Mus musculus: one gene and its partners. The protein of the gene in region 1 interacts with the protein of each later gene in a pairwise test. Links are inferred from orthologs where the notes say so. Each region holds a gene or a part of one and is shown in the gene's direction. Other genes may lie near its edges.

Evidence for each region.
Region 2: the proteins of Poc5 (region 1) and Cetn1 interact in binary tests that used the Homo sapiens proteins (3 or more experiments, as listed by UniProt). The link is inferred for Mus musculus from reciprocal best matches to the Homo sapiens genes POC5 and CETN1.
Region 3: the proteins of Poc5 (region 1) and Cetn3 interact in binary tests that used the Homo sapiens proteins (3 or more experiments, as listed by UniProt). The link is inferred for Mus musculus from reciprocal best matches to the Homo sapiens genes POC5 and CETN3.
Region 4: the proteins of Poc5 (region 1) and Cetn2 interact in binary tests that used the Homo sapiens proteins (3 or more experiments, as listed by UniProt). The link is inferred for Mus musculus from reciprocal best matches to the Homo sapiens genes POC5 and CETN2.

What each region holds. Positions count from the first base shown.
Region 1 is NC_000079.6:96,389,157-96,397,037, forward strand, and holds part of Poc5 (centrosomal protein POC5), read left to right. Parts: intron 1-1,066; 5' UTR 1,067-1,206; intron 1,207-2,431; 5' UTR 2,432-2,441; coding exon 2,442-2,519; intron 2,520-4,070; coding exon 4,071-4,188; intron 4,189-5,335; coding exon 5,336-5,413; intron 5,414-7,483; coding exon 7,484-7,674; intron 7,675-7,881. UniProt on the Homo sapiens protein: Essential for the assembly of the distal half of centrioles, required for centriole elongation. Acts as a negative regulator of centriole elongation.
Region 2 is NC_000084.6:9,616,319-9,623,377, reverse strand, and holds Cetn1 (centrin-1), read left to right. Parts: upstream 1-3,908; 5' UTR 3,909-3,958; coding exon 3,959-4,477; 3' UTR 4,478-4,959; downstream 4,960-7,059. UniProt on the Homo sapiens protein: Plays a fundamental role in microtubule-organizing center structure and function. Plays a role in sperm cilia formation.
Region 3 is NC_000079.6:81,786,795-81,794,675, forward strand, and holds part of Cetn3 (centrin-3), read left to right. Parts: intron 1-48; coding exon 49-163; intron 164-5,161; coding exon 5,162-5,353; intron 5,354-6,169; coding exon of another isoform or gene 6,170-6,261; exon of another isoform or gene 6,262-7,881. UniProt on the Homo sapiens protein: Plays a fundamental role in microtubule-organizing center structure and function. As a component of the TREX-2 complex, involved in the export of mRNAs to the cytoplasm through the nuclear pores.
Region 4 is NC_000086.7:72,912,778-72,921,187, reverse strand, and holds Cetn2 (centrin-2), read left to right. Parts: upstream 1-2,843; 5' UTR 2,844-2,871; coding exon 2,872-2,874; intron 2,875-4,341; coding exon 4,342-4,500; intron 4,501-4,794; coding exon 4,795-4,923; intron 4,924-6,210; coding exon 6,211-6,348; intron 6,349-6,894; coding exon 6,895-6,984; 3' UTR 6,985-7,623; downstream 7,624-8,410. UniProt on the Homo sapiens protein: Plays a fundamental role in microtubule organizing center structure and function. Required for centriole duplication and correct spindle formation. Has a role in regulating cytokinesis and genome stability via cooperation with CALM1 and CCP110.

The sequences.
Region 1 (7,881 bases):
CAAATTACCACAGTGGTTGATTTGAGACTAGTGAAGTGTTCATTCTTCGATGCAGATCCATGCCTATTTTATCTTCCCTGCATGGCTTAATGAAAGACAGTCACAGCTCAGACTTAGTTTACTTATCCTCTGGAACCATACCAATGCTGAATAAAAGAGAAATTCCCTTTGCACAATTCTGGCTGCACCCTGGCTTTCTATTCTGTGGTTTTCCCTGCATCTCTCCCTTCTTCTTCAGTGTCTTTATCTCAATTGTTTTCTTAGCAAACTATAATTGAGGCCTGCTCCAGGGGCAGCTGAAACTGTCACGGGTGTCAAGGCAGCCTCCTGATCTGCATGCTGGGGGCCTTCCTTGCCCCCTTCTGGCCAGTGACCCTCATACTGCTCTCCACACAATTCCGGTGTTCTGGCTGCCTCCCATCTTTCTCCTGACACTTCACTGTTCCTTAAAAGCTAGCAGTTTTAGGTTCCTCTTCTCAGAGCAGTCCTCTGTTAGGATTATGAACTCCTTTGAAATCATGTTTGAATCTAAAAATCCTTCTAGAAAATACATATGTTTATATTCTAAAAGTGTGTGCAGTTGTGTTTGGTCTGCAGGATAGCAGTTCTTTTACCACAATGGGGAATCCCATCCATCCCCATTTCTTTCGTATTACCCCAAGAGGTCAATGCCTCCTCAGTCTAAATCTCCAGCCTATGCTTGTAATACAGGCAAAGGCACATCCTAGCCATTGTGAATTCCAGTGCTCGGAGCTGGGTGCTGAGTAGCCAACGTAGTCACATAACCGCTATCCTTCTGTAACCACAGAATTCAGCAGATTGATTCCCAGATCCTGCAGATGCCTACATCTACAGATGTTCAAGAGAACTATATAAAATGGCATAGTGTAGCCTATGACATATACCACCCTTCACACTTTAAATTATGTCCACTTTACATAGAACCCTAATATAGTATAAATGCTAGGTAAGTTGTTATTGCACAGAATTGTCTAGGGGATGGCGATAAGAAAAGTCTGTGCATGTCAAGACCAATGTGATTTTAAGAAATACTTTTGGCCCACAGATGAGTAAATCCATAGGAGCCCAGGGATACTGACTCCTGCGTGCCCACAAACCCGATGCTCCAGAGGCAACCTCATGCCGGCACAGCTGGTACTGAACTTGCTGACCTTCCAGTTCCATTGTGCTACCGTCCTTGCTTCGGTGAGTAGTAGCATGTTTCATCTAGTTACTCTGGACACAAATCTGAGCACATCAGTAGTCCCCACTTGGATGTTTAAGTGGTCATTGGTCATGAGCCCACATTGTCATCACCGTCGCACAGCTGCCTCAGAGCCACACCTCAGAGCCCTTGCCAAGGCTGCATTCTGGTTTAAGGACCTCATTTTGTCTCCCAGGTTGATACTTAAAAGAACCCTTACTGCTTGGATTCCTACAGCTGGCTCTCGATTGGACTCTATAGTTTTAGAATCCAAATCTGTCCTAAAGCTGCCAGAGTAGTATTTCTTTTTTAAAATGTGATTTTTTGAAAAGCGCAGTGTTCAGAGAGGTAGCTCTGCAGTAAGAGTCTAGCCCCTGACTTGCATAGCTGCAGTGCATTCAACCCTCACCATTGTAAATATGAATAAATAAAAAACAAGGTTGGCCACATCCGTTGTTTCAGACATTTAATGTCTTATGTAAAGATTCAGCCTTTTAATATGAAAGGTTATAATTGTAACTATGCCTTCTTATTTGATTTGTATTCAGCCTAACCAAGCACCCTGATTCTTTTTCACGTACATGCTATGCCTCTGTGCCTTGGCTTACACAGCTCTCCTTTTATCTTGAGTCTGTCTCTCAGGTCTCAGTACTGGGGCCATGCTGCCTGACTTACTGGTGTTCAGAGAGTTTGAATAGTTACTATTTGCCTTTTAACTTGCGCACCCCCATTGCAATAGTTTTCTTTAGTTAAGACATGGAATGATTTCTCTGTGTGTGTCTCAGTATGTTGTAATGTATGAAGTTAATTTTCTTACAGTAATATTCCCCAGATGTAAGTATCTCAGCAAGGGAATTGACTCAAACTCTTGGGCTGTCTTACTCCAGAATGTCACAGGAAAGTATTTGGTCTCTGGGATGTCACCTAAGGCTGAAGAATGGTGACCACAGGCTCTTTCCTGAGAAACTCTGCAGGAAATGGTTCTGAAGCAGTTTTCTTCAGTCCTTTGTGTATTTAGCACATCTCTTAGGGTATTATAGAAACACAAATGTTTGAAGTAAGTCCCTTCTTTGGCCCTAGGATTTTTGCTGAACATGTCAAGTGGGTGATTTCTTTTAAATGACACGAACAATATTTGCAAGTTAAAGCACTGTTGCACTCCATGTATTTAAAAGCTTTGGTGTAAATATTAGGAGAGAACTGAAGCTAACTTGTGCTGTTTTACAGTGTTTGCAGAATGTCATCTGATGAGGACAAGTGTTCACTTCATGTGGCTCACAATGACTCTGACCGTTCTGTCTCCACAGACCTTCAGGTAGGAAGACATCTAAAGTTATTGTGACTTTAAAAACTTAGAAAACGCTGTGTAATGGTGCAGCCTTTAATCCCAGCACTCAGGAGGCAGAGGCAGAGAGATCTCTGAGTTTAAGGCCAGCAGGTTTCACATAGAGAGAGCCAAGACAGTCAGGGCTACAGAGGCCACATTCCCCCCAAAATTTAAACAAAGTATTAATTTATGGCAAAACCAGAAGTGCATTTTTCATTTACTCATTCCCTTCACAGTGAAGTGTTCGTGTTTACAATATTATCAACTCTCAACTAATTTGGGGAGTATATTGCTTTAAGTTTTCAGAAAATAGGCATGAACTGTTCAAAAGCATTTTCTGCAAAGGCTTTAGCACAGTGAAAAATAAAATTCAGAATTTCGGAACATTATGTGAAATGTTCTCATTTAACTGCCTCTGCCAAATGCTTTCATCCTTAATGAAAAGTAACAGAATGTCAGCCATCTGAGATTCTAGGGTCCAAGGCTCACTAATGCTCTGTGTAGTAAGGTTCTTGTTATGACCACTATACTTGCCATAATCTACATTTGGCATAACTACTGCATTGGCATAATCTCCTACCTTGAACCTGGGCTGTGACTGATGAGTTAGGAGAAATGCTTAGGAAAGAGTGTGTTATTTACATGGGATCTTAAAATCCCACAAGCTGTGCTTTCTTACTGCCTCAGCTGCAGGGCGGTGGAAGAAGTAGATGACCATTTGCCCAGGTCCAACCCTGGGGCTTATTCATTTACATAAAAAAGGAGAAATAGGTGCTCATAGTCAGTTAGCAAAGGCTACTGCTGGAGACTTGGAATTCCGTACATTATTTTATTAGGGTCAACTCCCATCTAGGTTTACACAGACCAATGAATACCTTGTATCTTATCCCAGTGTATCCTGTCAAGTTAAGGTTGCCCTTTTTCTTAATAACTGAAAAATTTGGATTTTCCTTTATTTTAACAACCAGGTATGATTTAGAAAAAATTTTAATTTAAGACTATATCAACCTTTTTAAAGAATTATAATTTCTTCTGTCAATATGAAAACTAAACATTATGATAAGCTACATAAATTTTTTTCCAAACACAGACTTTTACTTTGTATCTTCAGCCCAGGCTAGCTTCAAACTCCTGATCCTCTTCTCACCACTGCTCCGTGCTACAACTACATAGATGCTTGCACACACCTGCCACACTTCCTAAATACTAGGAAACAGGTTAAAACTCGGGCTTATTGCCTTGAAGGGGCATCACTTGTATCATCTTTAGTTAAATTGATAGAGAATGTAAGAAAGAAGAGATAGAAAAAAGTGTTATATTGAATCACCAACACTTCCCCATTAAATTTTTAATTATAAATGTCAACGTCATGCCAGAGCACTCAAAGGACTCAAGCTAAGCAAAAGGGCTAAGCTTTCCTGTATTGTGGTAAGTATATGACTATTATGTGGTTACATAGACTTCTTAACACAACAAAATGAACGTTTGAATGCAACATTATAGCTGCTGTAATACATCGCTGTTCTTGGCTTCTCATAGGAGGAGTATGAAGAGCTGCTTCGCTATGCTATTGTGAATCCAAATGTTGAATGCAGTGCTTCGCAGCCATCTCACCTTAGAGGAGAAGTGGCACCGGATAGATTCCCTACGCTAGCTGGTATGCCTCACCAACCCGGTTATATGCAGTTGTCAAGATGCCACTTAAGATCCTGAGTCTGTTGGTGATGCTGGCTTGACTGTGGAACTGCCCCTGACCATCACTGGGCTCTTCTCAGTCCACAGTGTAAAGCAGTGTGATGCGGGCCTGCCTTGCGCTTTACTGCCATTCCCGGCTCTTTTGACGGTTGGACTTTAATTGAAACTGCAGTTGACTTTTAACTTCATGAAAAGTCATAAAATCAGAGCAGCACAATAGTGATTATCTCTTTCCCCGGGCTCTGGAAATCCTGTACTCGAATCCTCAAGCTTACATGGCAAGCACTTTGCTGGGACTTCTCTTCCCAGCCCTTGCCTGTTTATATTCATCAGTCCGCAGCACTTTAGTTTGTTCAGAAGGAATTGTCATTAAGGTACTCAATGTAGAGCCTGGCAGTGGTGCTGCACACCTTTAATCATAGGATAGATAAATATGCACGTATGTTATAGATATAGAGCTACCATGTGACCCAGCTGTCCTCCCTAGACACACACTCAGGGACACGAGAGCTGGCATAAAATACCTGCACGTCCATGTTCATTGCAGCATAGACCCAGTCCAGTCGCCCTGTAGTGGATGAGTGGGTAATCGTCCATGGAATCATCAAGTGAAGCAGAGCAAAGCAGGCTTGGGAAGACAGGCAGTGCAGCTTCTTCCAGTGTGTGGGATACAGATTTTTTTTAAATGTATTTAAGACACAAAAGTAGAAGAGGTACTATTTAAATGGAAAAGGACCCAGAGGTGCAAGGAAAACAGAATAAGAAAGGGTTAGTATGTTATCTGCATACATGAATATGTCGCAATAAAACCATTGTACACGTAGTACGTACACATGTATTCTTTTAAGAGGTTTAATTTTAAAAACTTGGGGCGGGGGAGCTGAACAGATGGCTCAACAGTTAAGAGCACTGACTGCTCTTCCAGAGGTCCTGAGTTCAATTCCCAGCAACCACATGGAGGCTCACAACCATCTGTAATGAGAGCTGATGCCCTCCTCTGGTGTGTCTGAAGACAGTTACAGTGTACTCACATATATTAAATAAATAAAATCTTTAAACAAACAAACAAAAAAACATAAAAACAACTCTTTTTTTTTTTTTTTGGACAGGAAATAACCCTGTAAGAGACACTGAACTGGAAGTGGGAAAAGGATCCGATTTAAATATTTCAAGCCATTCAAAATCAGGTAGGATGACTTTTCCTTAGTTTTTTTATGAATTACAGTGTATTAGCAAGAATAAGTCACCATATTACTTAGCCAGACTTTTAAAATGCTATTGCTGCTAGCTTAAGTGATAATATTAAAAACAATTCACAACATTCCAAAATCATGCAGCTAAGATCATAATTACAGCGCATGACATCCTTTACAATGCCTTTAGAAAGAAGATGTCTTAATAAAGATTTAGCGAGATATTAGTTAGTTCAGCCAATTAATAAGTCCTTCATAAGCAATGTACTGCTCCCCAGCATTCAGGCGTATGTATCTACCAATGTAATGATCTATGTCTCTATGTCATATACTTATAGTGATAAGATACGTAATGATATAATGACCTGTGTCATATATTTAAAGTGAGAAAATGTTCATTTTTAGCTTGAAATTATTTTAAACTAATCATTGATACTGACTATAACATAAAAGCAATGTATCCTTCTTACAGTTAGGGAGCAATGGCAAAGGTGACTAATGGAAATACGGCTGCTAACTACTCTCTATTGTTGCAGTCCTGTTGAGTCAGAGATGTGCAGAGAGAGGCTGGTGGGGAGGAGGGGAGGTTGAAGCTTACTAGAACCAGCTTCAGGCTTTTTACTTTACATGTATAAATGTAAACAATGGAAATGGGGCACTTCCCTTGCTCTACAGCGTGGCATTATTAATGCGGAACCATTTAAGTCACTTTGTAAGAAATGCCTGCCTTTGTTTCTTCACTTGAAAGAATCTTGGGCAATATTATTTTTGCAGATGGTCTTTCAAGCCCTTAAGTCATATGACTCTATTTTGTAAATGGTGAATATGTATATTTTTTCTCAGCAATAAAACCACAGAGCCTTTTGGACAAGGTGCCATGTGTTTGTATTCCTACCAGGATGCTAAGACAAGAGGATAGCCAGGTTTACACCAACCTGCACTACATAGGCCCTATCTCAGAAAAACAGAGCAGGGAAGCAGAGCCTTCTGACTCTCTACTCAGTAGAGCCCAGTGAAAGAATACGAGTACACTTGCTCTTTCTGCCTTGCTCCTTGGGTTCTTTGATTATCTTCAGACTGTGTAGGTGATATCTCACGTATGACCATCCCACACTCTATTTATTGCATAGCAAATGCACAATTTAGGGAATAATTTTCCTTCTTGCAAGGAGTTCTAGAAAGATTTGCTTTTATGTAACAAGTTCTGTAGAACTTCTGTCCTTGCTTCATTCTTCAAGAACAAGAGACAAGCCACCACTCTTGGTTATTAGAATCATCATAGTTAAGGTGGGATTCACCAGAAATGGTAACGGATGATGTCTAATTCCAGTAATCTGTGATGGAATATTGGCTCTTCTAGTTATGCTTTTTAAAGATAGAGGCCAGTTGTCTTTCTGGCTCTGGCTCTCTGCACCTCACTGAGTAATGGCAAGTGATAGTTGTGTATATGTGCACATGCATATAGATTACTGTACAGATTTTTCATCTATATGTTGGAGGCTAACAGCATATCTAGTAAACTAAATAACTAGCCCTTTTATATTGTCAAGTTCTAGCAATGTTAAGGGCAGGACCAACATTGAAAATAAACAAGAGTGATCTATAGACAACTGCCTCACCATGGTCAATCAATGCTCAGAGCCTCAGTGTTCTCCTTATGGTTGAGAAAATACCTACCTCTTAGGTATTTTCATGTTGAGAGCTAACCCTGAAATATAAAAGGCATTTTGTTAATGTGAATGTGACAGTGTGGCTGATCACACTCAGTTCGGGCTGGACCAGGATGTATGACACATCCGTGTTTGCCATAGGAGTTGTTTGTGAAAGATGGAAGGGGTGTAGAAGGCATCCTATGCCTGTCAACCCGTAATCAGTGACAGCACTGATATCCAAATGCCCATGCTGAAGTATGTATACCTCAAGAGTAATTTCTCTGTGTTTTTTTCTTGGTCTCCAGAGTTGACATTATACATTACTTCTAACATAATCTTTTGACATTACTCTGCCAGTTAGACAACTTCCATCTGACCTGACGCCTATTTGATTGCTGTGCTTTTCTTGTAGGGTCACCCAGGAAGCCATCTCACCCAGTCATGGACTTTTTCAGCTCACATGTTTTAGGTGACTCTTCCTCGCCAGCCTCTCTTTCTACTCGGACAGATGCCCATGAAATAAATGGGGGGGAGCATCTCGTCTCTGATGAAAATTTTCAGAAGTTGGAGAATATACTTGATATCTGGAGTTCAGGTCTTAAGGTATTATAGCTCTTAGTTGCAGTTGCTTTATATTCTGACACCTGAGCCTCGTCTCTCTGTTTGCCTGCCTTTTACTTCCTCCTCCTCCTTTCCTTCCTTCCTTCCTTTCTTTCTTAATGTTTTCTAGTAAACAAAAACCTAAACAACAACAACCCAAAAAAACCCTAAACCTTTGGATTCCTGGGATGATCAATCTTAGATTTATGT
Region 2 (7,059 bases), on another chromosome or scaffold:
ATGGGAGATTGTCTAATATACTATTTGAGGTAGAAAGACCTAGCCATTGTGGGCAGCACCATTTCTTGGGTGTGTATCCTGCACTGGATGAGAGCAGAGAAAGCAAGCTGAGCACTATTTGGCATGCATATATTCATTCTCTCTCTGATTTTGACTGTGGATGTGACTAGCTGTTTCAAGTTCTGGAAACCTTAACTTCCTTGAAATGATGGACCATAGCCTAAAATTGTGAGTTAAAACTTCTCTTTCTTGACTTGCTTTTTGTCAGGGTGTGTGTGTGTGTTTAATCACAACAGAAATAAAATGAGAATAGATACATACTAAAGATATCACAAGATAATTTGGCAGTAGATCTGCTATATTCCAACTCTACAACCACAAAGTTCCAATCATTCAACCAGCTTTGTAGAATCCTTAACTAAAGTGTGGCTCCCCACCCCCCCCCCCTGCTCCCCAGGGACTTTACTTTATAACGTTCATATTAGAAAGCACATTTCTGGAGCCTTGGCTCTGTAGTAAAGAACATTTGTTGCTCTCGCAACTCACAACTATCTGTAAGTCCACTTTAGGGGATCCTTCCATGGGCACTGAGCATGAACATGATGCCCATATATACATAGAAGCTTTCTCAGTTTAGATGCACCTTTTAATTGTTTTTTATTTGTTTGTTTTCAAGACATGCAGCCATGGATATCACTTTGTAGACCAGGGTGCCTCTCATCTACCTCTGCCTCCTGAGTGCTGGGATTAAAAGTGTGCACCACCACTGTCCAGCAGATGTACATTTTTGAGCATGCTGCACTTAGGTCATTTATCACATATTCAAAAAAGAAAGCAACAACAACTAACACTTCTGGGTAGAGAACTTAGTATTATAGTGAGCAAAGTCATTTAAAAGAATGAGTCAGAGTGATTTGGTGGCCTCAACGGCCTCCTCATAAAGTTTTCCAAAGAGCTCTAGTTGTTTTTGTTTGTTTGTTTATTTGTTTGTTTTAAAGAAGTACTTTGAAGGTGCATTAAGAATTTGGGGGTGTGGTGGAGAGGATTATTTTTATGTAGCTCAGGCTGGCCCCAACTTCCTGATACTCTTCTTTCCTTAGTCTCTAAAATGCTTGGATTACAGGCATTGGCATATTCCAGCCCAGCTAAGAGTCTTTTAAAGAGTCACCAGTTTTCTCTATATATCCATTCATGCGTTTGTCCCCAGAGGTGCCTTCTTCACTTAGCAGCTAGCAAAGTACCCTGGATTCAGCCAAATCATGCAAATCCCTGTTGAATTATTCTACAAAGGTTTCTTACTTCCTTACTCCTAGGTACATGGATGATAGCCAGGAGCCTCTCTCTAGCCATGCTATGCTTTACTAAGACTCTCAGTTCTATGGCAGCATGATATAATAAATGATGTAATGAACAATGTTCAAGTTCTGGGTTCAGACAAGGCCAAGGTATGACCTCAAAATACATTTATTGACTATATACTATTAAACACTCATTACAGGCCTCTTCTATGCCTTGCTTTGTTTTTTCCATCTGTGAGACAGGAAATGAATACAAGGTTCAAATAAGGCAAAAGGAGACATGTCTCCTTTTCAAGTCAGGGTTAAGACTATGAACACAAAATGTTCATCAAGAACTGATTTTGAGGGAACTGTTTCCTATGAAGAGAACTTTTGGTGGCCCTTTGTTGTGACTGCTGATTGCACACATCTGGAAACTATGACAACCAGTTTGCTTTGAGTTCAACTTGGCCTCAAATATTACTCTCTATATGGCAGCTTTTAGCCCTTAGTTTTCCCCAACACATCATAGCTTGTCTCAAATTTAGGCAAAAGAAGGGCTGCCAAAGGAAATGCAAGTCTGGAAGGACCTGAGGTCTGTATCTGCCAGTCCCATTAGAAAAGTGTCTCTGAAGATTTTGTGGGCTTTTAAAATAAAAATACATTAGGGAATTTTAGTATGGGTTTTCAAATGAGAGATATGGATGTCATGAAGAGGATAAGTTAACTTCTTCAAATCTGCAGAGATAATTAGATGTAGAATTGAAAGAAGATGCAATAAAGACAGGAAATGCAGGAGAGGGAAGGGACCAAATGAGCTTTTAAAAAAATTTATTTATTTTCAAAAACCCTATACCTAAAACCTGTGTCCATTGTCACTGGGGGAAGGAAATAAGATTTGACCAGCTGAACATGCCATGAAAGGCTGGGCTGGGGTTCAGTGGAGAGTACTTTCACAGCATAGATGCAATCCTGCATTTGACTCCAGGAAAACCAAATAACTAAACAAAATTTCTAAACACACCTTATAATCAACATTTCAAATCATAATTTCAAAACAAAACAAAACAAAATAAAACAAAACACAGTTTTGTAAAAATATTCCTAGCATTATTGGGTCTTTTGAATCACCTTTCATTTGGTAACTTACAAAGTATTTTAGGATCAATATTAATTATGCAAGAAGTCAATGGATAGCAATATCCCTTCAATGTGTCAAGCACTGTTCTGGATGCCTGGGATACAGAAGATTTGGAACAAAAAAAATCTTCCAGATGTCATCTGTTGTACAGATCAAATACTGGTAAATATACATTTTGGGGGGAGGGGATTAAAGAATACTAAAAATTAAAAGTCAGCTATCTGCATTTGCTAGGTAACTTTTCTCCTTCCTTCCTTCCTTCCTTCCTTCCTTCCTTCCTTCCTTCCTTCCTTCCTTCCTTCCTTCCTTCCTTCCTTTCTTTCTTTCTTTCTTTCTTTCTTTCTTTCTTTCTTTCTTTCTTTCTTCTTCCTTTCCTAAAAAGCTTCCACTTTTCTCTTGTTGCTTTGGTTCCCAGAAGGGCCCGTTTAACTTCAAAAGACAATTTTAGGTTTCCACTATGCTGCACCATCACCTTCCTTGTCTGCAGTCAGAGAGGGACAAATGTAACAATACAGTGGATTCTCCTCTAGACGAATGTGAAACCTACTAGCATGACCAGATGAAGGTGTACAGTAAGATTTATTATTTGCAGTACCTAAGGAGAACATTGACATTATCTGCAAAACAACAAGGCCATCAAATAAAGTGTGGGAGTTTTATTTCAGAAGCTTATACATACTCTTATAAGAAAGGAGACATGAAATTTTCATGGATTTGGTTAGGATTTTAAGAGCAAAAGTTACCTTTAGGTGACCTTGACTCTTTCCTTAAATGTTTCCCCTATAAATTTTCAGGTGGAGTTAAAAAGGGAGATGTCTCCCTTGTAAATATAGTTTGCCCCTAAAGATACCTTCTTGCTTAGTGGTTGTTTCTGCCTGAATGTGGAGCTCTGTACAGCAGGTAGCAAATAGTGAGTGAGAATAAAAACACACGGCTAGAATTTTACAAATACATACCAGAACACTTCACCCTCATCTGTCGAAGTCAAAAGCCTACTGAATGAAATTACAACAACCACCCAGGTACTAGAAGTGAATTATACTGGACATTACATGTCATACTTGAGAAACTGCCAGGAAAGTTTACTAAGGTTCAATAGGAGACAAACTTCCTCAAAATTTACACGTAAGTGCCTTTATCTTACCTGTTTCATAATCATGTCTAGTGAACACATGGAGTGCCATTTAATGTTCTTCCTTCTTATTTGAATTTAATACCAAGTGGTCAAACTTCCCTATAGTTGTCCTTTTAATTAATATGGAAAAGGAGCAGATGATTTTCAAATAAATATACATAGGCACTGCAGATGCCTATGACCTGGAAAGAACTGCATGTTCCAAAGAATTATAGAGACAATAGCTACAGCACTTTCTTGCCAGTAGGTATTAACTGCCAGTAGGCGCAGGCGCATAGGGGTTGGCGCAGGCGCATAGGGGTTGGCGCAGGTGCAGGCGCATAGGGGCTGGCGCAGGCGCACTAGCAGGGCACCTCACACACGTGCGATGTCAGGGCACCGTTAAGATCCCAACTGTTGTGGAGGATGGCGTCCACCTTCAGGAAGTCAAACGTTGCCTCTACCAGCTACAAGAGAAAGGTGGGTCCTAAGCCTGAACTCACCGAAGATCAAAAGCAAGAAGTTCGGGAAGCCTTTGACCTCTTCGATTCTGATGGGAGCGGGACCATCGATGTGAAGGAGCTGAAGGTGGCCATGAGAGCACTTGGCTTTGAACCCAGGAAGGAAGAGATGAAGAAAATGATTTCAGAAGTAGACAAAGAGGCCACAGGAAAGATCAGCTTCAATGACTTCTTGGCTGTGATGACTCAGAAGATGGCCGAGAAAGATACCAAAGAGGAAATCCTGAAGGCTTTCAGGTTGTTTGATGACGACGAAACTGGGAAAATTTCATTCAAAAACCTCAAGCGTGTGGCCAATGAGCTGGGGGAAAGCCTCACAGACGAGGAGCTGCAGGAAATGATTGATGAAGCTGATCGTGATGGCGACGGAGAAGTGAACGAGGAAGAGTTTCTTAAGATCATGAAAAAGACCAACCTTTATTAAGTGACTGGCTGAGGTCCCTGCTTCTGCTTTTGTGAAAGTATGACAGAACAGCTGTGGTCTGTTCCTTCTTCCTGCCTCCTTTGTCTTGGTTGGCTTCTAAGCCTCTAGATCAATTATAAATTTTGAAGATACTTACTATATGAGTTTCTGTTGTTTAATTCTCAAGAACACATCTCAATTAAGGATCTTTGAGGCTGGAGTCCACTCAGTGCTTGCCATTCATTAAACTGAAGAGAGGACAGCTTCCTCGGTCAAATAAAATCGTGGTTCTCTGGTCACTTTAGTGATTCTAAATAACACGAATATTCTGGTGATTCCTTCATTTCAAGTCAGTGACCTAGCATGGTGAGTTAGAATTTACCAGAAAGTTCATTCTAGCTTTCCACTTAAGTGCATACTGCTCTGAAGGATACTAATGTGGTTATTTAAGAACTATTTAAATTAAGGAAAGATATTCCTCAATAAACCCTTGCTTGCCCTTCAAAAAGGAAGTGTAAGTTTGTTGAGTGTGATGACACACAGCTATAATCCAATTGGGAGGCAATGTGCAAAGCTAGTCTAGGCTTACATAACTCCAGGTCATCTGGAGAGTATAGAGTGAGACCCTGTCTCAAAAAACAAAAGTGTATTGGGGAGATAGCCCACTTGAAAGAGTGCCTGCTGTGCAATCTTGAAAATCTGAGTTTGGATTTCCAAACTCAGGGGTATCATGCGTATCCCAAACTCAGGGTAAAGTCCAGTGGGATCCCCAAAGCTTGGAGATAGGCAGAGCAGATAAGTCAGATCTCTCTCTCTCTCTCTCTCTCTCTCTCTCTCTCTCTCCCTCCCTCCCTCCCTCCCTCCCTCCCTCCCTCCCTCCCTCCCTCCCTCCCTCCCTCTTTCTTTCTTTCTTTCTTTCTTTCTTTCTTTCTTTCTTTCTTTCTTTCTTTCTTTCTAGATACAGGTTTCTAGAGCTCCTACAGTATCCAGCTTTAGCCAATTAGAGAGCTTTAGGTTCAGGAAGAAAACTGTCTGTGTAGTGAACTGTGTGTAGTGGCACACCCTTCTAATTCTATCAATAGAGAGACAGATAGTGGAGGATCTGTGAATTGAAGGATGGTCTGATTCCAGTTGTGAGTTTCAGGATATATAGGGCTTCATGGTGAGACCCTTCCTCAAAAGAAAGGTGGTGAGCACATATACACGTGTATGCTGGTATAGACATCCACACAAACATATATATTACACACACAGAACCTGGACTTTAGCTCAGTACTAGATTACTTGCCTAGCAACTTTAAGGCCTTTGTACAAGAAAAGGTATATAGACTTGCCTTTGGGAGGTGATTAACTACAATGGTGACTTTTCTAGCTTGACTGCATGTCAGTGTCTTCCTTTAATGAGTCTAAATTATCTACTGAGGAGTATGGAGAGAGGACATGAAGACCTAGCACAGGATAAAGTAATTTAATTGTTGCCTAAGCAAATTATAACTTTTTAAAGAAATTAAGCTTACTAGTTCCTTTGTTTGTTGAGACCGGTTCCTGTGTTCCAGACTGGTCCCATACTCAACATGTAGCCAAAGATGACCTTGAATTTCTAATCTTCCTGCCTCTACCTCCCAAGTGTAAGGATTATAAAAGTTCATCACTACCATACCCAGGTTATGCAGTGCTAGGGATAGAAGTCAGTCCTCCTTCATGCTAGGCAAGCACTCTACCAATTGAGCCACAAACCCTTGGGCTTGTTGAGACACAGTTTCATTTGTATCCCAGGCTAGACTCAAACTTTTGCCTCAGCTATCCTAGTACTCGAAATCACATGTTCAAAACCATGTTCAATTTTTTTCTTCACATAACTGATCTATGGTGCTGAGGACATGGCTTAGTGGGTACATCACTTTTTGTTCAATTATGAGGACTTGAGTCTGGATACCCAGAATCCATATATGAGGAAGCAAGTATGCCCCTCTAACTGCAGTGCTAGGAGTTGAGGAAGGGATGGGAAAGACATATTCTAAGCTCACTGGCTAACCAATGCAGCCAATTAGTAAGTCTCAGGTTCAGTGAGTCTCAAATAAGTATGATAGAAATAGAGGAAGATGCTCTAGACACCCTGTTCTTCATATGCATGCATACAGACAAACCATACATGTATAGCTACACTTTAAGCTACTCATTCTTAGAAATAGCAATGGCAGTTTTAGTTATTAAACTATGTACATGTGTTATTAGCTTTTAGCTTCAAGCTGCTGTCTGCTAATTATTAGAGCACTTGCTTTTTATTCTCTTGTGATATGTGGTTAATATTAGAGTGTCTAGGTAATAATACTCATTTTATAAATTTTAGTAAGCTATTTCACTGTGACAAGAGTATGTGTTCATACTACTTGGATTATTACATGTGTGCCCACTACATTGGTCCACGTGAAGACTCTGAATCTGAAGTGTTAGTGTCTGTAGCCTGGGTGAGTTCTCTGTTGCAGCTACTTCATCAAAGCCTTTCTGATGGCAATCAGGTAGTACTGTTATTTTGACAAGTTAGTCCCTAATATGAGAATTAAGTCCAGAAAATTAGTTGCCTTCTTTAGTGACAGCCACCA
Region 3 (7,881 bases), about 15 Mb from region 1:
TTTTGTAAGTAGTGCTTTACAATTTGTTTTTCCTTTTTAATCCAAAAGGTGGCAATGAGAGCCTTGGGCTTTGATGTGAAAAAGGCTGATGTGTTGAAGATTCTTAAAGATTATGACAGAGAAGCCACTGGCAAGATCACATTTGAAGATTTTAATGAAGTTGGTATGTACTTAGTCGCCTTTATACCCAGTACTTGTTGGAAAATTACGAGATTTTTGTATGTTTTCAAAAGAAAAAACATATTTCTAGCTATACTGTGAGAATTAGTGTTGGCTTTTGATGATTTCTTGAACGAGGAATTGTTGTCTAGATTTTATGGTTTATTAAAATTAATCACTAAAGGGTAACCAAAAATTATTTCTTGCCAGTAAAATAGAAGATTTAGTATCCTGATGTTTAAGATTATTAGTGAAGACTGCTGTGCGCTGTGACTTTTGTTAGTACAGTGGAGAGAAGAAGGAAGTAGGACATGGTGTCTTGGTGGGAGATGGGGACATGAAGTCCATCTTGTTAAGTTGACAGCTTGTTAGGCTCTGTACTCACTAACCTTAATCTCAGGGACAGTGCTGTGCTGTAAAGTTGAGACAACAGCAACGACACTGTTGTGAGGGATGTCTTTGGCAGGGTAGAAATAGGAGCACTTAGGAAATGCCACCTGAAGATGGTGGCAGCTTACTGTAGTTGGATCTTGGATAGTGATCTTAATGAGTTACTCAGGATGAGTTACTCAGGGTGTATACAGTTAAAGATTTTTCAATAGAAGATTCTGGAAGGCTAGGAATTGGCTACTGTAACTTAATTATATTGCTTACAGTGTTATATAGACATTATATGAATTATTTTGTTAAGTTACTGACCAATGATACCATTTTAGGGGTCATAATCTAAGCATGTAGTTATTTTCATATATTAAAAAATTAAAACTAATACAATTATATGTATATACAAAACCTTTATTTAAATATTAAAGACATAATACAGGAAAGAAAAGAAATGGAATGAGAAGGCAGATCCCCCCCCTTAGGAAACTCATAAGAGCACCACAGTGAAGTTAGCACAGGCTACCTTGGAACCAGATTCCAGGCTTCAGATCTGGGTTCTGACTCTGTAACTTGGTTAGTTTACTTGTCTGTGACTCGTTTTCATCGATGAAATGGGGACCAGTGTAATGTGGTTTCTGGGAGGTATGTGGGTGATGAGCATGTGAAATGTTAAGCACTGTACTGGATAGTAAGAGCTACTAAATGCTGGTGTTGGGATTAAGAGTAGTCCCAGCACTCAGCACAAAGAAGTAACCCAGGCTCTGGAAGTTTGAAGTCCACCTGGTCTGCATGAGGAACCCCAGGCCAGACAGGGCCAATGAGACCCTGTCTCCAAGCAAAACACTCCAAGAGTTTGTGCCAGGCAGAGAAAATAGTGCTTCCTTTGATGCAGAATGCATTTGTATTGTTGGGACATTAAAACATTCTATTCTATAATCTCATTGTTTTATTTTCTGTCTTTAACTTTTGAAGGCTATTTTAAGCATTATTATTCAGAGTTTTGTAAAACATTTTTTCATAAGTACTATTCTAAGTATTGCAGATTTTTATATTTTACTACTTCAGAACAGAGTTTCATATCACCTAAACCTTAGCTTTATGGACCATTTGTTGTTGCCTAAGGACACTGTCCCACAGATATCTGCAGATGTGCCTGGCTTATTGGGCTCTCCCCATGATGAGAAAACAGCCTTAAAGTGCATTCAGTGCAGGCTACCTAGCGTCCATCCGTCACTCGGCTGAGGCCAAGGAGGAGCAGGTGCTTCCGGAATCTCTGCTCTTAAAGGAAGGTCAATAGAAGTGAGAGATTTTCACCTCATCTGTTCTTGGCTTGTATTTCTTACATTTTAAAATCCTATCTAAAATAAAATGTTACAGTGTTTTCATTTTGAGTATTTATCCAGCACTGAAATTTTTGCATTTGGCGGGATGAATGGTAGTTAAGATTACCAAGAAATTGTGGTGAGGGCCTTAGGATGTAAGTGTAGTAACAGGACATTTTGATTCTGTGTGAGAGAGATTGCTGTCTTGGGTCAGAGTTGTTACCTGTAGCCCCGGGACTGAACCGAACTGTGCTCTCTGTGCGTCCCACATTTGTGGACGCTGCTTCTCTGCTACCAAATAGCATAGCAGTTTAGACTGTGAGCTTAGGACCCTGAAAACCTAAAATGTTTCCTATCAGGCCTTTTATAGGAAATCTTTGTCAAGCCTTCACCCAGGAAAATTTAAGTTTTTGCAAAGGGAATTTTTTTTTTTAACTTAAATCTTTAGGGATAGAAGATGTCCAAGAAGATTGTAGGAGTAGAGTAGATGCAGTCTAGCATAGAAGTGACAAAGCGGCATGGTACTACATGCTCAGCACGATGAGAAGCTTGATCTCATGCAGTCCCCTCTGTTAGAGGAGGGTCAGAGCACTGGGACGGCAGCCTTGAGTCAGACTGATGGATGGTCTTACGTAGTGAAGGAAGATGGGACTTCAGTCAGCGGAGTTTAAGGAATGGGAGTTTGTATTTTACAACAGTAATTGATGAGAAGGTCAAAGATGAGCTGAAGCGATTTTGGAGGCAGAAAGTTCTAGACTTTATGATCAAGATTGTTAGGGTGAAAAGAAAGAGACTCTATTTGAGAGTAAAGTAAGATAGTGTCTTCAGAACTCTAGTGTCCAATACTTGGATAATTAAGGGACATTTATGGGGTTGAGGGTAATGCCACTGTTTCAGAGTCAGTAATGCAGCTACCTTTCCTTCAGTGGAGGTCTAAGAGGCTGTGAAGCCCATAGAAGGACTTGAAAGTCCAATATTTTTGAGTTTGAAGTAAGTATTAAATGTTTGGATAGGAACTAACTTCTCTCTCTCTCTTTCTTTCTTTCTGTACTTTTTTTTTTTAAAAATGTAAGAGTGCTTTGTTGTGTGTATGTATACCTACATACCTGAAGAGGGTGTCCGATTCCTTTATAGATCCCTTTAAAGATGGTTGTGAGCCACCATGTGCTTGCTGAGAATTGAACTCTGGAAGAGCAGCCAGTGTTCTAACCACTGAGCAATCTCCCCAGCTCTCTAACTTTATCTTTTATGATTTTGATTTGTCTTTTCAGAATTTTGTTTCCTTATGTGATTTTTGTAAGATCTAATACTTTTGATGGACTGAAATTTCCAACAGTGTAGTCAAATTGTATACCTTTGTAATTGGTTTTAGTTGCTTTATGTCATTACAATGTAAAAATCAACACAACAGAAAGTAGTTGCATGCACAGAAATTTGGAACTTTTGAACCAGGTGATATCTTAGCTATGTGTGTGTGTTAATTGCTTTAAATCCTCCTGTTTTTTTTACAGGTGTGGGCTACCATGCCTGGTTTGTTTTCATTGGAAAAAAGATGTCTTACAGAGAAGTTGTACTTGTAGAGCAGAAATGAAAGGTGACGATGTAGACGAGCGTCACCATAACACACTTCATGTTGGGTGATGCTTTAGTTGCTCAGGGTCATGAGTCCTAAGAGAAGTGCATTCTGTCAGAGTATCGCTGGGCGTTTTATAGACCAATCTGTCTGAAGTACTGATAGCGCGTGCAGGTGAGATAGTGTGCGTACTTGTTGGCCTCCTGTCTGTTGTGGCTTTAAGCACATTAGTCTTTTCAGCAGGGTGCCTTTCTGCTTTACCTGTCATGTATGTTACTTAATCCATGAAGAAAATTTCATAACAGTTTTTTTTTCTTGTCCTGCTTTTTTGTTGGGACTGAATTCAAAATACGTTGAGTGTGTGCCATAGAGTTAACTGTGGTATTTTATTTTGGTGTTATGGCTGTAGGTATGCCAATTCTTGTTACTGAATATTTATGAGCTTTGATTTGCATACTTATAGTAATAGTCTTCAATTAGGTTTTTGGAAATCTTTTTTTGGATAAAATTAATGGCGAGAGATAATTTTGGATATATGTGTAGTTGATGTAACATTAGCTTTGACTAGGTGCTTATTCAGCCAAATACAGATGAAATAACAATAGACAGACAACAACTTGAAGAGGACTTAGATTGTATTTTTTTACTTAGGATTCAATAAACATCCCAGTACTTTCCATCTACAGACATTTGAAAATTTCAAATGAATCTATAGATCCCAGCAGTTCACTGTTAATGATAGAATGATAAGTGCTTTTTCTTATAGTAGCAGAACAGCATATGGAGTTACTTCAGAAATAGATATTTTGAGAATTCTACCAAGCAACATAAAATTTTATACTATAGACATCAGTTTTTATTATGACTTTATTAAAGGCCTATGCTATTAAAATATATAAGCTTAGTATATTGATATATGGCTTTATTCTAAAAGAGTAAAATGGCCCTGCTTTAGACCTGCTTCCAGAGAGGTTTAGCCCATCTTCACAGTAGCTGAAATCAATGTAATTTTTTTGAATCATGAAAGTGCTGATAGAATTTGCATTTACTAACTTGTCTTATGCTTATATTGGTGTTGGCAATGACTTCTGTTAATTTCACAGGCTTAGTTGAATTCAACTAGAGGAAGAATTGGGGTATTAAACTGTTTAACAGCTTTAACATGGCCAGGGCAAATTGTTCACTTAAACTTAGTGACCTGAGAGAGGTGGAGTAATGTTTTTGTGGACTTAATTATTTTATACTTACATATACTTAGAATGAGTGCGTTGCTCCTGTGTGTTTACATTGCACTGTGTGAAGGGCCTAGGTCAGAAGAGGGCATTGGGCCCCTGGACTGGAGTTATAGACTGTCGTGATTTGCCAAGTGCTTGCTGGGAATTGAACTCAGATCCTCTGCAAGAACAAGTGGTCCTAACTGCTGAGCCATCTCTCATCCTCAGTTTAATTCTTAACAATAGTAGGCTTTAAATAAATAGTGTGTATATGTTGTCCCTTTTTTGGCCTTTGTACAATATAATTTAGCTTACATTTATAGTACAGACATTAAAAGTTTAACATTTAAAATTTGGATTTGGAATTCAGGTTTTATTTTTGAGTTTTAGTGATCTACCGTGACATTTAATTATTAGACTAAATGTTGACAGACTCCCAGGTGTTGCTCTCAGTGAATAGCTGATTTTTACATGAATGTCCTCACTTGAAAAGTTTCTTTTAACTCTAGTGACAGACTGGATACTAGAGAGAGATCCACATGAGGAGATACTGAAAGCATTTAAACTATTTGACGATGACGATTCAGGAAAGATAAGCTTGAGGAATTTACGGCGTGTTGCCAGAGAGCTGGGTGAGAACATGAGCGATGAGGAGCTCCGGGCCATGATAGAGGAGTTTGACAAAGACGGCGATGGAGAGAGTAAGTTTACCTTACTTTTGTCTAAAATCTGTTGATTTTTGTGACTCCCAGCAAGTTCTCCCCACCCCCACTTTTCCTTTCCCTTTTATTTTTGAAGACAAACTCATGATACTTTAAAGTGATTTCAAGTTTGACCTGGTACTTAAGATCCTTTGTCTTAGCCTCCTGAATAGATGAGAGTCCAGTTGGATGCCACACTCTGTAAGCTTCATTTGTATTGAAGCAGACCCTTAAGACAACTTAATGAGCTAAAATACGAAGTATCATACAGACTTCTCTGAAGAAGAAATATTACTAATATGTAGCTCTTCACTAAAAGTTTAGATCTCAGTGCTTTCTTCCTTAACCTGTTTACACTTCTGAACTATTACTAAATTTGTAGATTTTTCTTTTAACCACTTTTAATCTATTTTTGTTTGTTTGTTTGTTTGTTTTCTCTGCTGCTCTGTTTCAGTTCCTGAGTTATATTTAAAATGTCACAATGTTCTTTCCCAGGCTGCCTGTGAGGTGCAGCGTTGTGTACCACCTGTCCGGCAAATATATGCTGGTGTCTCTCACAGCCTTCCCATTGCCCTCTGGGCTTATTAGCCTTCATCTCCTTTTCATTCTGTCGATAATATTCTTTTCCTAAATGTGGGTTGTAGTGTCGTCATTTCTGTGCTCAGACACTGAAGAGTGAATCTTCACTACCTGCAGAGTAAAGCACACACTTAGTACTGAGGTCTATTTATGCTGCATTCTTCATTCTTGCTTTAACTGTTATGTACTGAACATCTATATCCTGATGACGGTGGCTTTGCTGCTTTCTTCTCTTAGGGAGCAGAGAGCCCACTTGTCTGTTGAAGTGCTTCTCACTTTCTCCAGCGAGAACTTTGGAAACACCATCTTTTTCTCAAAAGCCTCCTTAGTGGTGTATGGCAGCTGATGAGGGTGCCATTAAGGGCTCATGACATTTAGAAGAGCAAACTACCTTCATATTTTAGTATGTTTAATATGGATCCTCTTGGTTGCAAACCAAGTTTTGTACTTTTTTTTTTATATTTTAAACTGATGAAGATAAAAATATTTTTTTGCCATTTTGTGACATTTAGTAATTCATTTGCTTTTATAAATGTTTAATGGTATCCAATTTTTAAGAATAACTATTTTTTCAATATTATGGGTTTAATGAAATAAAGACTGCAAATGTGGATATGAAGGCAAATAATGTATACTACAAAATAGACATAAATATGTAGGTATATCTGAAGATAAAGAAGATTAATACCACAGTCTCTCAAAATAAATATAAATAATATAAAACAAAGTACACTATGTGCTTTTATAAAAATGAAAGTAACATTTAAGAAGCTATAGCAGACCACTTTTTAAATAATGATAATGATGGTTGGAATCTTTTATGTTACTCAATTTTCATAATAGCTTCTGTAAAGTGGATAGAGTACTGTAGCTGTATGCACATAAGAGAGATGCGTGTATAGTAGATTATCACAGAGCTAGTCCATGATAGCAGCAGAGCTCAGACTCAGTTCTCCACAGTGAAAAGGGCATTCTGTATTGTTTGAGATACTACAGTAAGATGTTAACTGCGATGGGAAGCAGTGTATTAATTTATTGACTAGTACTTCTGATGCTAAACTTTGTTTTTTTATTTTTCTTTTGAAGCCATGTAGCTTCTCAGGTACTCAAACTTTATATAGATTGTGTGTGTGTGTGTGTGTGTGTCTGTCTGTCTGTGTTTGTGTCTGTGTGTGTTTGAGAGTCATTTCTCACCTTCTTCCTTGTTGAGGGAGTGACTTCCTGTTTCTGTTTCCGGGTTGCATACTTCTGGCTAGCATGCCTGCTAAGATTCTCCCTTCTCTCTGTAGGAGTGCTGAGATCACAGAAGTGCACTGCACTATCTCTCAGGTTTTTATCTGGGTCCTGGGGGTTGAATTCTGGTCACCAGGCTTATGTGGTGAATGCTTTTTGGCTGAGCCATCTTCTTGGCCACTCAGATACTTATCTTTAAGCCAGGTGTTATGCTGTTGTCAGAAAGATGGTTGGTGAAGTTAGAAAGCCTGGCTTTCTTGTCACCTCCCTAGTAGTCAAGTGGCTAGTTTGGTTCCTTTAGTTCCTTTGTTCTTTACTGTTTTAGACTTAACTGTTATGCTTTTGGATATTAAATCATGAAATAGATTAAAATATTTTTGTAATACTATCATATGTTAAAGTATATATAAATAACATAAAACAGCTATTTGTGACTTCTACAACTTTTTGAAGCTGAATTTGAAGTTTGATTATTGAAATTTTATATTTTAAAAAAAGCAAAATCTTGAATAAAACTAAAGTACTTAGTTTTTAGTCATAGCTCTGTTACAGTATTAAATGATTTATAACCAAATCACTTTGAAGCTCCTTTTATTGCTTTCCTAAGAAAATAATACTTTCTGGTTTGGCCTAGAAGCCTCAGTGTAGATTGCTTCAATTGTGTTTTTAGATGAAGCTCCACACTGGCTTAGGATTCTTATCTATTTGAATTCTTA
Region 4 (8,410 bases), on another chromosome or scaffold:
GATGATCTAATGGAAAGAGAACAACTCCCATGAAGCTGGCACCTACTTATCCAATGGATACATTACCCTGAGTAAATATTGCCAAAAAAGGGCAGGGGTCTTGTAAAAAAACAAAGACTTCTCTGTGCAGAATTCAAAGACATGGCACAGGATGAAAGTGTTTAGGAGGTAAGCCATTATTTTCCTGGGGCCATCCAACTGGACTCTGTCTTTTCACAGACCTGAGATGCCACATCTTTCTCACTTTTTCATATCTACTTACTTTTGAATTTGCTATGGGCCACTCAGGAGCCCCTTACCAAGCCCGAGCCTAGCTTCTACTGTTCCTTTCAGATTTAAGGTAAATCCAAATTGCCCCTTATCCTTCTATTTCCTCAGTACCTGTTGGCAATGCTTTCTTCCTGACTCAAGTGACTTCTATTGAATTATCCTGTTGTTGTTTTAGAAGTTGGATCTGGAAAACATTCACATTTCCTGCCTACATCCGAGTTGCTATAGGGGCTCACTCACTTACTTATTCACAAGTTGCCAAACAGCAGCCACTGTCAGACAGAAGCCAACTAGAACAGTTCAGATCTTCAAAGAAACCATCAGCTTGTATGGAAAACAGAAAGCTTCAAAGAATGATAGAGCTGTGGTTGGATCCTAAGGAGGCTAAGCCCATGAGAACTAATGTATGATGCTTAGTAACATGAAATTATCTGAAAACTTGAGTGCTAAGGCCCTAGAATGAGTGAGTTAAAGAGAGGATGTGAGAGTCTTAAAAGATAGATCACATCCAAGGGTGGGAAGAACATGTCCTAGTAACCGTGATAAGTTGCAAGAACATAAGAACAAAGCAAAATTATACTCAGACAGGTCAAAGAACTTGGCTAGGGTCACAGAATTAGCGCATAACCCAGGAAGAAATTTATTTGTCCTTTCTAGCCTGCTGGGCTGCCACCCCAAAGGGGACTGATGAAACCAGAGATGTTCACTGTAAGAGTATAAGCATATGTTGGCAGAGGGGTGAATTATGAAAAACTAAGGGATACTTATGGACTACCTGATAGACTAAGGTTCACTGAACACTGAACATGTAGTCTTTCCTTTTCCAGGTACTGGTGAACACAAATATGATTCCTGTCCTCCTGTGCCTACCTTCTAGTGGAGACAACAAAGAAAAAAGGTTAACTTTACAGTGGCTTAGGAGGTGACAAGTGCTACTATAAAAATATGGAGCAATATGAGGGGCCCAGGTACAAAGTAAAGAGAGTGATTACCTTTACAGAGAAGGTGACAATAGCTGAAGACCAATACTAGGCTTGCTGGTGCATACCTTTAATCTAAGCACTCAGGAGGCAGTGGCAGATGGATCCCTGTGAAGTTTGAGGGCATCCTGGTTTACATAGTGAGTGCCAGGTCAGCCAGAATTACAGAGTGAGACCCTATCTCAAAACAAAAAAATTATATCTACCTGTGAAATTTTCTCAAAGAATTAATCAAAATACTAAAAAATTTTAAAAAGTTCATGGGACTGGGTAAGGTCAGTGAAGGAATGTATCAGCCGCAAAAATAGTGCCCTGGGTGAGAGTGAGCCAGAGGGGGAACAGTGTGGGTGTGATGGGAGAAGGAGGAATTTCATGGCAGGCTTTGCAGATTATGGTGAGAACTCCAGCTCATACTGCTGAGGAAGGGCTGAGGAGGAACAGAGAAAACAGAGGACAATTCAAGGACGGAACTGTGAGAACTCAGAGGCTGGATATGGGGGATTGTTGCTGCAGTGAACAAAGGAGCCAAACAAGACACAAAAGTTTTGAAGCCGGTTCCTGGCTTAAAGGAAAGAGGGCAAAGGGCCTATATTACATTTATGGGGAGCTGTTAAGTCTCAGGCCTTTCTCAGTTTGAGAGACTGATACTGTGCCCTTAAAGTCCCTAAACTGATTTTCTTTGCTTTGAGGGACGTAGAACATAGAATCTGTGTTCGACCCTGGGCCTTCATTACTCCTGGCACAGCTCCAGGTAGCCCCAACCCGTTGTGCACTTTGCCCTTTAATTCTCTTTACATTCCATACTTCCAAAACTCCTGTGGCTTTGCTTTCAAGGGAGTCTCATTCAGGAATGCTCCTTCCCATGTGACTTGAGTGTCTGTACGTCTAACAGGACACATTTTGATGAGTTTTGAAGATCTAAAAGTCCCCAGCCCATTCCCCTGAGAGCTAAAGTGACTCTTGTAGAGCTAATGTAAAGACAAAGCCTCATGTGGATTGGGTTTCTAAGCCCCAGCCCTGTGAACCACTGACACAATACTCAGCATGCCCACTCCAGTTTCGAGGTCTCAGCTTCTCCTGGCACAGTCACCCCTCCAAACCATTTGGTCATATCTTGCTGGCCCCTCAGATGTTCTGTGTCCCCCAACTCGGTTTTAAAATGGGTCCCACCCATTCCCTCCTACTTCCTCCAGGCTCTGTCACCCACACGCAGCAGCCTCTAAGGGCAAGCCCGCAACTCTTACCCGGTTTAGACACTCAAATGATCGACCTCAGCTTGCAGACAACCGGCAACCAGAGAAGTCTGGCTGAACACCCGCCACCCTTTTCTACTGATAGATATGAGCCCACAATCAGCAGAGCTTCCTTCATAATGTTGATTGGTCTAGCTTGGCTCTGGCGCAACCAATTGACGCTCACAGCATGATTTTGCCCAATGAGGCTAGTCTTTGGCTGCCGACGCACCGCCCTCTTGCTCTTGGGCGAGTTTTGCCAGGTTAGCCCCACCTCTTCGTTCCCAAACCAATGGGAAGCGGGCTGTGCGCGCGTGGAGCAGTGGGAACGCCGCTGAGGCTGCGAGTACGCCGTTGCCTTAACAACCGGTGGCAGAGTCCGTTGGGTGATGGTAAGTGCTAGGGATTCGGTGGACCCCACGCGGCGTCCCCGGTCCTTTCCTAGGCCTCGGTGCAGCCTTGCTACCTTTCTTGCACGGTTCTTGGCGTTGACGCACTAGTTCTTCCTTGGAGCTGTGTGCCGGAAGGGTAGAAGAGAAAGTACAGCCGCCAGCAGCTTGCCTTGCCTGCTCTTTCCCACTACCCCCTCCTCGCCCAAGTCACCTTCAGCCACCCCCGCACAAACTGCCTCTGGACCTCCGCTGGCTTTCAGGAAACAGCAGGGTGACCATTCTATTGCTTCCCTTAGACTTCCGCCTCAGTCAAACTCAGGCCTCCTGGCCGCGGCCACCCAGTTAAAGTTTATGCATTGGTGCTAAGAGGTTTACTGTGTTCTGATGGTCGCAAACGCTTTCAGGAGAGGCTGTGAGAAAGCACGCAGGTGCAAATGGTTTGATTTTTATCACTTTGTACCGGCATAATTTTTATCTTAGTAAGTTTACATTTAGCCAAATTTAGGCATAAGTAATTGGAGGAGCAGAGTTCTTGGGAACTGGCACCACAAGTAGATGTTTTAAGTACATTTCTAAAACCGAGAGTACGGAAATCATATACAGTTGATCATCCATAACTGTAATTGGTTTCTCAAAGAGCTTTTGATGATGCTTTTTTAGATTTAAAAATGACTGAAATTGAATCTCCTAAAGTGACACATGGATTAATGGTACAATTGCATGAACTTTCTGTAGTATAAACTTTAAGACAGTGGAGGTCAGAGTTATGTCTTCTCATGAAGGCTATGTTAACACTAGAAATTCATATTCATATATTCACTTGCTCTATGTTGATCTATACAAGAACAAGGAGGAAAATGGTAATATACTATTTTAAAACAAAAACTCTCTTCTATTTGGTGGCTCCCCAATGAAATATAGTTGAATTTAGTCATATGAGACATCACATTAAGACAAATTTACAGTTATATTAGAAAATAACCTCATTATTGCCAATTTCTTTTTTTATAACTTAGTAAAAACTGACATATATAAATTGAAATAGTTTTAAGTTGAGAGAAAGTTTTTTCTTCACAGAGGTTTGTGCTATTTGTCATTTAGAGTTGGGGTTAATTTTATTTTAGTTTTTACACTTATTATTCCTTGGTGGAGAAGCACATTTTAGCCTGAGTGTGGCGGTCAGAGAATAATTTGGAAGAGTTAGTTCTCTCCTTTTACCATGTAAGCATCGTTTCCCTTTTCATCTTTGACAACGACAACTGAAGCCTGGGTCCTGGTTCCCACTTAGGTTATCAAGCTTGGCAGCAAGAATTCTCACTGGCCCATGGAAGTTTACGTAATGACATAAGTACATTACAAACGATGGCACACCTCATTGAAAAAGATATGTATGTTTAGAGCTGTCATAAATAAAACAAGGACTATGGCTTGTAATAATGTGCTTCTGTGTTTATATATTGTGTGAAGGCCTCTAATTTTAAGAAGACAACCATGGCATCCAGTGCCCAGAGAAAAAGGATGAGTCCTAAGCCTGAACTTACTGAAGACCAGAAACAGGAAATCCGGGAAGCTTTTGATCTCTTTGATGCTGATGGAACTGGAACTATAGACATCAAAGAACTGAAGGTAAGCTGCACACATCCTTTTCTTTGTTACCTTGTGTTTCCTTATTGCTTGTCTTTTAGCTGTTACCGTTCTTCTCCTTTCTGCCTGCAAAAAGTAACAGACAAGGGTACCCTGTGTATATTTTACCTGAAACAATGGTCTAATTGATAAAGTTGATTGCAAATATCAATTAAATCAGCCTTAAGTGTTCCCTGATCATTTCCATCATTTTATCAGGTGTTTGGTTAATATCTTCAATAGTCATTTTTGTTTTTACGTTATGTATCTATTTAGATGATTCTGTTTTCATTGTAGGTGGCAATGAGGGCCCTGGGCTTTGAGCCCAAGAAAGAAGAAATTAAGAAAATGATAAGTGAAATTGATAAAGAAGGAACAGGAAAAATGAACTTCAGTGACTTTTTGACAGTGATGACTCAGAAAATGGTAAGTTAGTTAAGATAATTAGCATGCTTTCTACCCATAATGGTAGAAACATGAGAATCTAGACATACAAAGAGCTTTATCCAACAAAATCTATCCCTTCCACATGGGAGAAGATAGTATTTTTAATTGAGAGGATCTCTACGTTTCATTTGGCTTTCTTTAAGGTATTAGCATTATCTTGTTTCATGTGGCCACATGATAATCACAAGCAGTAAAAACTTTTAACACCGAGATTTTCAATGCTAGTCATTTTTGGTTTTAATTTATTATTATTAAAAATTAAATTATCATACAATAAATCAGGTGTCAATCTGACATTTTCAGACAAATGGTTCACACTTAAGATTGGTTCCTAGATTATTCTTCCACCTGAACCTCCTGGCAAGAACCTTCCTGAAATAGCTGAGGTTTGAACGCTTTCAGAAATTCTGCTCTTCTGCATTACAAGGACTCAGGGCCCTGGTAATTCTTTGAAGGCCATTGTGAAAAATACCTCTCTCCTCCTCTGCCTTTATCAGTCTATCTGTTTTAGCAATGTATTTTCCCTGACTACAACCCTACTCACTGCTTCTATATTTTAAAAATGAATCTAGTGTCTGCTTGTTTTGTACAGTACTTTATATACAATTATATTTCCTATGTAACCCCTGAGTTTATATTCACTTTACTAAGTATGTTTTCTTTTTTTTTTTTTTTTTTACAATGTACCATACTTGTTTGCCTGTGACCAAGGACATATATCATGACAGCTATCACCAGGACCTTATGATAATGTGGGCCATGGCCGGGGAATTAATCTAAGAAGATAGTTTTCCTACAACTCCCTTCTTGGGATTAGAACTGGGCAGCGTTCTATACAAGACAAAGCACAGGAGGGACAGTATAGATACCTGGCCAGATCCAGTGTCAGGTGTTAGAAAGATGAGCCCCAGCTCACTCCAGAGGCTCTTGTCTTCTACCTGTGAAAACAGTATATGACTGTTCGGCTATAATAGGAACCTGTCCTTGCCACATGATACTTTGCCCCACCCCCCCAACAAGTCCTCATGTCTATTTTTTAGGACTTCTTGACTTTTTCAAAAGCAGGCATCTTTTTTCTACTAAGTTCTGATTTGATTATGGAATAGATGATGGCAGAGGAAGTAGAAAGGGAATATATGCCACCATGAATCAGAGGACCTGGCTTCCTAACATTGTTCAAGTCAGGTTTTTGGAGACAAAAAGATGACCGGGGAGTAGCAAGAGTGGCTGGATATAAGTAACTATCACTTTTGTGTTCTACTCCAGTCTGAGAAAGACACTAAAGAAGAAATCCTGAAAGCTTTCAAGTTGTTCGATGATGATGAGACTGGGAAAATATCATTCAAGAATCTTAAGCGCGTGGCCAAGGAGCTGGGTGAGAACCTGACAGATGAGGAACTGCAGGTGAGAAAAAGGCTATGGCTTTCGTGGGTTCTATTTTCTCTATTTTCCTTCTTTGAAGGAAAGCTAGTATCCCTCATACCTGTGGTGATAATTTCATACCTGTGGACCCTGTTTCGATAATACACATGTACAATTGAAGTTCCCTCATTTGGGTTTCAGGTCAGGGTGACTTTCCAGCTTCTTTTCAATGGATGCATATGACAGTCATTGAGATTTGGCTTTTAAGTAACTTTCATAGAAAGGGGCATACTCACATTAAATGGACCATAGTCATCTTTTCTCATAGCATTATTTGAAGTTTCTTCTTTTTTTTCTTTTGTTTTGTTTTTCGTTTTTTTCAAGACAGGGTTTCTCTGTGTAGCCCTGGCTGTCCTGGAACACACTCTGTAGACCAGGCCGGCCTTGAACTCAGAAATCTGCTTTTGTCTGCCTCCCAAGTGCTGGAACTAAAGGTGTGCGCCACCACAGCCTGTCTGAAGTTTCTTATCTAATTACTTTCAGTTTAGTTTGTGACTTAATCTAAGATGAACCCTTATCTCTGTGCAGGAAATGATTGATGAAGCTGATCGAGATGGAGATGGTGAGGTCAATGAGCAAGAGTTCCTGCGCATCATGAAAAAGACCAGCCTCTATTAAGATCAGTGTTTCTTTTTCTACTGCAAGCACATGTGACTAGATTTAGTGCCTGGCATTTTGTGAAATATGGCTTTTGAAAGCCTCCCTCCCCCAACCTGGGGTAACTTTAGCCATGACCTTGAATCTATTTTTGACTTTTGGAAGTGTTCTTTGATATTAAGTTCTTTGTACATTTACCTGCTGACTAAATCAACAGGGCAGAACAAGAGCACATAGAGTGGGGAAAAGGGTCTGAAAGTGTGACTGTGGCCACCCCACCTTCCATTACTTCACCTTGCTCATGCATATCCACTCGACTGAAAACATGCAGTGGCTTCTTAGTTGTCCATGTATCCATGTCACCATAAGCAGTGGTTGTTCTTAAAGTGGTTTTGGTTTTCATTTGACACCACAGTACAGTTTTCTCTTTTACAAAACCCAATGAGTGCTTGCTGTGGCATTTGGATGTGTGTTAATGTATTTGTTTGGTCTTTAAAAAAATAAAACCTTTCTTAATTTAAGCTCTCATTCTTTAAAGGATGAGTATTTTTTAGCTTTAACTGTGAGTTCACCTTGTAAACAACTGTGTTGAGGACAGCCTGGTACATATATACAATTTGTCATCGGCCTATGGATTAAAAAAGGGTAATAATTCTTTGTAACTTTTCTGCCATAAATAGTTTTTTTGCTTTCAGAACTTGTGGATTTTTACAGCTAGTAGAATTTCTTATGCTCTAAGCCTATAGAGTCTTATGTGTAATTTCTGCTTGGACAAAATGGAGAGGGATGGGCAGTAGGTAATATTCAGGCAATCTTATGAGATTATTTGTTTTATAATATCTCATTGTACAAGTGCCCTCTGGGCTTGCACAGAATTGCCTATGAGAGAAGCCCAAGTATGTGGCATTGACATCTAATCCAGGATGAGGGTGGGAACAAGAAGAGCTGAAGGGAAATGGAAAATGAACAATGATTAAATACATACATGAAAATGTACCTACATATATACACACACAAAACCCACTATAAGAGCCAGGCAGGTGATCAAGATGGCAATCCCAATGGATGAGGCAGGAGGGTTGCCATGACTTTTAGTCATGCTGGGCCTACATAATGAGTTTCGTATCATTCTGGGTCACAAAGTCTGATCCTGTCTCAAAGAAGCAAAACAAAACAAGACTCCACATAACCAGATCGGTTTGAATCATATCATCAATGGGTTATATGTACATATAGTTAAAAATTTGTAGATATATTTATTTTATGGGTATGATTATTTTGCCAGCATGTATATATGCACATTATGTGTGAGCCTGGTGCCTGCATTAGTTAGAAGAGGGTATAAAATTCTATATAACTAGAGTAAGGGACAGTTGTGAGTCACCATGTAGGTGCTGGGTGCTGGAAATCGAACCCAGGTCTTATGCAAGAGCAACAAGGCAAGAAG